Drosophila melanogaster: one gene and its partner. The protein of the gene in region 1 interacts with the protein of each later gene in a pairwise test. Each region holds a gene or a part of one and is shown on either strand. Other genes may lie near its edges.

What was found.
Region 2: the proteins of l(2)37Bb (region 1) and Hmx interact in a two-hybrid assay, tested with the Drosophila melanogaster proteins (one large-scale study listed by BioGRID).

Annotation. Positions count from the first base shown.
Region 1 is NT_033779.5:19,049,917-19,053,670, forward strand, and holds the start of l(2)37Bb (lethal (2) 37Bb), read right to left. Parts: upstream 1,697-3,754; 5' UTR 1,583-1,696; coding exon 1,181-1,582; intron 1,119-1,180; coding exon 1-1,118. Other genes in the region: Rpn3 (regulatory particle non-ATPase 3), read left to right, coding at 2,138-2,301, 2,363-3,683. UniProt on the Drosophila melanogaster protein: Involved in the assembly of the mitochondrial membrane respiratory chain NADH dehydrogenase (Complex I).
Region 2 is NT_033777.3:17,557,213-17,560,966, reverse strand, and holds the start of Hmx (H6-like-homeobox), read right to left. Parts: upstream 2,038-3,754; 5' UTR 1,604-2,037; coding exon 774-1,603; intron 1-773. UniProt on the Drosophila melanogaster protein: Transcription factor involved in specification of neuronal cell types.

The DNA of each region.
Region 1 (3,754 bases):
ATAGGTTGGTCAACAATCAGCCGGTCGAAGCTCAGACGAGAGAGGTCGATGGTTCTGAACTGACCATCCATGATCAGCTCGGATATGGCTCGGCCCACGGCCAGAGATTGCTGTACTCCGTGTCCGCTAAAACCGGTGGCTAGGTACAGATTGTTGTAGTACGGGTGAGCTCCTAAAATGCCGTTCTCGTCGTATACGTTATGATCATAGCAGCCCGCCCAGCTATCCACCACTTGGGCTTCTCCAAGAACGGGAATTCTATTATACAAATGGGGTCTGATGTGCTGGGCGAAATATTGCGGATCAATCATCGCGCTATTATACTCTTCCGTCGAATCTTGCACGCAAATATAGTTGCCGCCCAGGCCATCTCTGCGAATAAAGATGCCCGACGGATCTATTGTCATGGGCATATTCATTCCGGGTGCACTTTGGGCCTGCGAGTTGATGGCGTACATGTATCGCTTGCGTGCGTTGATGGGCAGCGGAACCCGAAGTATTCCTGGACCCACGCCTATCCTTGCTAATCGCGCGATTTGTTCGGAACTAGCACCGGCGCTTATTACACACAGGGCGAACTTGCAAGTGCGTCGCGTACCATCGGGCAGTTGGATGACCGCTTTTTCCAAGCCCGTGTAGGCACCCTCGTTGGAACCAAGATCTGTGACAACAGAAATGTCCGTTTGGGATTTGAACTCGAAGTCGACCACCTGGCCACTGATAAAATGGGCGCCGTAGCCACTGGCTGACCGTCGGAAATTGCTCAGAAGTGCCAACGGATTAAACCAGCCCTCTTTTTCCAGACCAAGACAGCCCAAAGCGATGCCCTTGGTGTTTAGCCAGGGGAATCTGGCAGTCAGTCGATCTGCAGTGAGAAGTTCATTTCGGGCACCCAGTTCGTTTTGTAGCTGAGAGGAGCGCTTCAGGCTTTCCGCGTGCTCCTCGCCAGCGAGCATCAGATGGCCATGGGGCGTAAACTGGAGAGGCACTTCCTCGCCAAAGTGTTTTCTTGCGCTTCGCAGGAAGTCTGCGGCAAATAGTGACATTTGGATGTTTTCGGGCAGGGAGAATTGCTGACAAAGACCGCCCACCGAAACACGCGTGGCTGACTGGGCATACTAGAAATATGTGGAAGGCAAATTAAATATTCGGGGTAGACTGGTACACATCATTTTACTACCGTGTCATCCTTCTCGACCACCACAACGTTAAGACCGTCGCGGGCCTTCTCCTTCAGCCAATAGGCGATGGAGCTGCCCACTCCACCGCCGCCAATGATGAGCACATCGCAATGGGTCTGGAAGTCATCCGGCACAGTGGCTTCCTTGCTCTTGTCGCGCTCCCCTGAAAAGTGAAACTGGCTCTGTGTCGGAATGGGAACTTTCTCGGTCTCCGGTTCCTTTGGTACAAAGAACTCCTTAACTTTGCGCATATCGTTCCCGAGCAAACGGAGTGTTCGTCGTATGGGGTGCAGGTCTTCGCCGGATTTGTCGCCCCCGGAAGATCCACTTCCATTGCTCGTTGCTCCGGCCGAGAAATTACGGCGCTGAAGGAGACCCACCACTTGTCTGTACCGCAACATTTTATTCTCTTTAATTTTAATTTAATTCATATTCCGTATTAATTTTTTATTTTGTGTTATTTTGTAATAGTAATAACGTGCGATGTTATCGGAGTATCGATATCGAAAAGGCTTAACGGAATTGTGGTAATGTTTTATTGCAATTTAAATAAAAATACGCTTTTACTGAGTGCGTAACTTAAGAAAAGGCTTAACGGAATTGTGGTAATGTTTTATTGCAATTTAAATAAAAATACGCTTTTACTGAGTGCGTAACTTAAGAAATTCCTAACCCAAATTAAAGCAATAGATACATTTACTGTAAAACATTAAAAATAAATTCCTATAACATATGAGACTGAAAGTTCGCTCAGTGTACCGTAAAACGTATCGATAAATTGAAACGTAACGGCTTAACAGCTCTGTTAACCAACTAAATTTACCAGCACTGCCTGTAGCCGAAAACGAATAAGAAGAAGAAGCGACATTACTAGGCATTTTTGATTGGGATTGAGAAAAACAAAAGAAAAGTCGGCTATATTTGTGACCCCAGTAAATTGAGAGTTCCATTACAAAATGACCAACGCAACGGACATCGGTGCTAACGACGTGGAGATGGAGGTGGATCCAACGGCGGAGACGCTGGCTGACGAGAAGAAGAACCAAGATGTGGCCGCCGTGCAGGAGATCCGCGAGCAGATTCGTCAGATTGAGAAGGGGGTAGCCTCGAAAGAGTCGCGGTGAGTAGTGCAAGAATTAAAATCTTGTCCCTTCCTTATTATGGCTCATTTCCGCCAACAGCTTCATCCTGCGCGTCCTTCGCAATTTGCCCAACACTCGTCGCAAGCTGAACGGCGTCGTCTTCCGGAATCTTGCACAGAGTATTTACCCCGCTGGTGCAGATCGTGAGGCGGCCGTGGCTTTGATGCCCGCTGTGGAGAAAGACGCCACCGAGCTGCCCGATGTTCCCAAAAAACAAGTTGCCACCAAGGCTCCAATCGCCGAGGTCGATGCCTACTTCTACCTGCTCCTGCTGGTCAAGCTCATCGACGCCAGTGATTTAAAGCGGGCCGGAATTAGCGCCGACGCCCTAATGGCCAAAATCTCCATCCAAAACCGACGCACCCTTGATCTGATTGGTGCCAAGTCCTACTTCTATTTTTCAAGAGTGGCGGAGCTAAAAAACTCACTGGAAGGCATACGCTCGTTCCTGCACGCTCGTCTGCGCACCGCTACGCTGCGTAATGATTTTGAAGGCCAGGCGGTGCTTATTAACTGTTTGCTCCGCAACTACTTGCACTATGCTTTGTACGACCAAGCCGACAAGCTGGTAAAGAAATCCGTCTACCCGGAATCGGCCAGCAACAATGAATGGGCGCGTTTCCTGTACTATCTAGGTCGGATTAAGGCCGCTAAGCTGGAGTACAGCGATGCCCACAAGCATCTGGTCCAGGCCCTGCGTAAGTCGCCGCAGCACGCTGCCATCGGCTTTCGTCAGACGGTTCAAAAGCTAATTATCGTTGTGGAGCTGCTTTTGGGCAACATCCCGGAGCGTGTGGTGTTCCGGCAAGCCGGTCTTCGCCAATCTCTTGGTGCCTACTTCCAGCTCACGCAGGCCGTGCGTCTGGGCAACTTGAAGCGCTTCGGCGACGTGGTATCCCAATACGGACCCAAGTTCCAACTGGACCACACATTCACCCTGATTATCCGGCTGCGCCACAATGTGATCAAGACGGCAATCCGCTCCATCGGACTATCGTACTCACGCATCTCGCCGCAAGACATTGCCAAGCGGCTAATGCTAGACTCCGCGGAGGATGCCGAGTTTATTGTATCGAAGGCTATACGGGACGGCGTGATTGAGGCTACGTTGGACCCAGCCCAGAATTTCATGCGCAGCAAGGAAAGTACGGACATCTACAGCACCCGGGAACCGCAGCTGGCCTTTCACGAGCGCATCTCGTTCTGCCTGAACCTGCACAACCAGAGCGTTAAGGCCATGCGCTATCCCCCAAAGTCCTACGGCAAGGATTTGGAGAGCGCCGAGGAGAGACGCGAGCGGGAGCAGCAGGACCTTGAGCTGGCCAAGGAGATGGCCGAGGATGATGAGGATGGTTTCTAAGCGGCTGATTCTGCAAATTAATTTGTGCTTGCATTCATTTTTATAGAAATATAATCCGCAATTAAATAAGT
Region 2 (3,754 bases), on another chromosome or scaffold:
TTTGCTTTATCTGTCTGGCATCTGGAATTTGGAATCGTTAGATTCTCGGAGCACAATGGCATGGTACTTTAGCCATTTGCATCTTCACCCACTTAATGTCTCGTGTAACGTTTGCCCAACAATTTTCGGTCTTATCGACCATCTCCCGGCTACCATCTCAGTCCGTCTCCATCCCATTTCTCCTCTTTGTGCACTTCCTGCGAAGAGATTTGTGTCACCTTGCCTTGTCTTCCCCTAGGACGATTATACAAAATTGGCCCAACCCGAGGGCGAACAAGTGGAATGGCAGCCTCTTTGGGTTTTGGGCTCATTGAGGCAAGGCTTGACTTTTTGGTTTCAGTTCGCCGGCGAACGTCCTAATCTGGGTCGCCTACACTGAGCAATAAATGGGTATGGTACTTAAGACGAGTGATTTTTATTATTACAAAAAAAGGTATTCAATGGGAAATCCTTGGGCATATGAAATTATACTCATTTAATTTCAGTAATTATAGGGTTAAAATTTGAATGAAATTTTAGTTCGAGTTTGTATTTTTTTAAAATATCTTGCGGATCAAAATTAGGCGGAATAGCTGAATATCGTCAGAAGTAACTAATTATATATGACAGATGGATGGACTAAATTTTTGCAGATTAAATTGTTAAAATGAATTGAAGTAAAATGTTGACACTAAGATTTTTAAATTTGGCGACTTCATATTTACAAGATTAATCACATTTGAAATGGGAGGGCTATTTTTGACTAGAGCAAGTCTGGAATGTTTTTTAATTACCTGGACAACATGGCCGCATCCTGTGGACCGCCGGCTCCTGGTTGCGGCAACTGCGGGATCGGAGTGATAAGTCCGGCGGCGCCGTTCTTCTTGGCCGGCTCACTGCGACTCAGGATGCTGGAGATGGAGAAGCTGGTGAATCCGTTGGAGCCGGTGGTGCTCTTGCCGCCGCCGCCCCCGCTGCTCCCGTTGCTGTCGTTGCTGTTGTTGCTCAGGTTGGCCGCTGCCACCGCTGCTGCTGCCGCCGCTGCGGCCGCCGAGGCGCAAGTGTTGTTGTGATTGAGGGCCTTACTGTTGTTGTTGTTCAGACTGTGTCCTTGCACCTCATCGCCGCCATTCCGCTCCGGACTCTTCATTGGCGGACTAAGGCGCTCGACATGCGACTGCTGGTGTTGCTGCTGCACCTGCAACTGTTGCTGCTGCTGCTGGCCGGTGGGCGTGAGTGCGTGCTGCAGCAGGGCGGGATGTGTGGCCCCGTGGGCGGGATGCAAGTGGCCAAAGGTGTGGAGCGCGTGATGCAGCGCCACCGGATGGCTGCCCAGGCTGCTCAGATGGTGCTGCAGATGATGGTGCAACACCGCCGGCGGCACAGCGCCTCCGCTGGGACTGTGATGGAAGTGATTGCCGCCCGAGGCGGACGTTGTGGGCGTGCCGGCGGCCGTGTTGGGCGTATTGGAGCGATGGGTAGGCGTGGCCGGGGGCGAACTGCCGTCGGCGGAACGGGCCGGCGAGCGGGCCAGCAGCGGACTGTCGCGGGCAGCGGCGCCCAAAGGACTCGGCTCCGGACTGGACACCACACTGATGTCAACTTCGGCCTCGGAGGAAGACATAGCTTGAGATTTTTGCTTAGATTTGCAGTTTAAACGTTTAATTCAGCACTTTTGTTCTTCAACTTGCACTTGTGTGTGTGTTTTTTTTTTTTTGTTTTATATATATTTGTTAGGAAAATAAAGAATTTTCCAAACCTTGTACACTTCAGTCGTGCCACGAAAAACTCGTTAAGGGAAAACGCCGAGCGCTACCGTTGGGAGAAACACGTCTGCACCGTTTGATCAACGTTTCGCATTTGAATTTAAATGCGGCTGTTAACAGACGCAGTCCTGAGTTCTGTGTTCTGAGTCCTTCGTCCTTTCTGTCTCTGTATGTATGCGAGTGCTTGTGTGTGTCTGCGTGTGTGTGTGTGCTTGTGTTTGTGTGTGGCAAAGCGATCGTTTAGTGTTTTTATTGTTTCAGTCTCTGGATTTTTAACCCCCGGTCTCGTGTCCGGAGAGCGTGGAACTGAAACTGAGACTGAGGTGGTTGGCTGGCAGCCCTGCAAATTCTTTTGGTCTTTGCGCTAAATGGTTTTCCGCACTCACACACACACTTGCGTATTTGCTACCCCTCCTGGGAGGGTGTGTCCCACTCTCTCTCTATCGCTCTCGCTGTCCCTCTCTTTCACCGCCTGGTGGCCCACCCCTTCTGCCGCTCTTTTTCATTCCATTTGCAGTTCGGAATTTCTTTTCGTTTATTTCGACAATTGCACTGCAACCGCATCGACAGACACTTTTCGCATTTTCCTCCTTTACTATTTTTTCTCTGCGGTGCTGGTGGAGTGCGCTTTGGTTTTCCTACCCCCCGAATGGGAAACACTTGGCATTTGGAACGCGTCTAAAGTGGGGGCGCACTCGGCTCGACTCGAATCGCTTCGCTCGGCTGGTGTCTATTGAAATGCCAATATAAAATCAATCAATTGCCACCTAACAGGGGTCAAGTGTTGCTCTGTGGCGCCATTGAAATTTCCCAGCCAGCCAGATGCAAACTTTTTCGACCAGAAAAGTGTGTGCCGAAAATGCACCAGTCGATTGCAACCTTGCGGTTAGCAGATTGAGCGGTGAAAGTTTCAACAAATGGGGTTCGGTGATATAGATAAATCATTGAATTGCTAAAATATCGAAAGAAATAAACAAGCAACTTATAAATTATGCAAAGAAAAGTAAAAGAGGTTTTGTGGGTGTTATCAAATGTATAAAATATCAAATGTATTTATTATGTTTGATAACGAAATGGTGAAGAACAACGTTAATCAAAAACGATATTATCAAAAATACGAGGATAGAAGGTATCCTTAAGAAATTAAGTGAAAGATTTTCAACAATTATATTTAAATAATTAAAAATATGTAAGCAATTTCCCAACGTATTAAGTTATATTTAGTATCGTTCATGTCATTGTAATGCATTCCCGTTTCTTCTTTTATTTGGAATCTCTGAGCTTTCTACCTTATAGCATGTTTCATTCCACAGCGTTCCGTTCCCCAAAGAGAAAACCTCCCCCAAAAAGCGAACAGGCGGCCATTTTTGCGAAGGAGCTCTGCAAACTTTGCAGAAAAAGAGCGGGTGAGAGCAAGAAAAAGTTAGAGAGAGAGAGAATGAGAGAGAGGGCAAATTGAATTTTTAAATGCTTTCGCTTTTTATGAGACAACCACGAGGCATTCAAAGAGTGTTGCAAACGATTTGCTCAAAACAAAACAAACATTATGCGAGTCAATTACCCGTCGAAAGAGAGAGACGGCGAGACCGGAGAGAGCACTCTCTTTGGGGGCGTGGCCAGTGGAGGGCCAATGGGGTGACAGCTCCTCGAAATGTCGGAGAACGCTTTTCAGCGACGGGAAAAGCGAGCATAAAAAACACAACCAAACAAATGGGTAACAAACATTTGCAGCTCAGACAGCGACGCCGAAATATGCGTAGAAATTCATGCGCAATTACATTTATCCTGTTTAGAAGATTGCTTTTGCCAAAGTGCGTCTCCACGTGCTGAGGGCAAGGCGCCACCCTTGCACCCGCCCAGCACCCCCATCTGCCACCCACCACCTCCCATTTCCCCTTGGAGGAGCTGTGCATGTGTGTGTGTGTGTGTGTTGACGGAGCCATCACCTGCGTCCGTAACACATTTTTCCGTAATTTCCCTCTGTGCATTGCTTGTTTTTGATTCGTTTT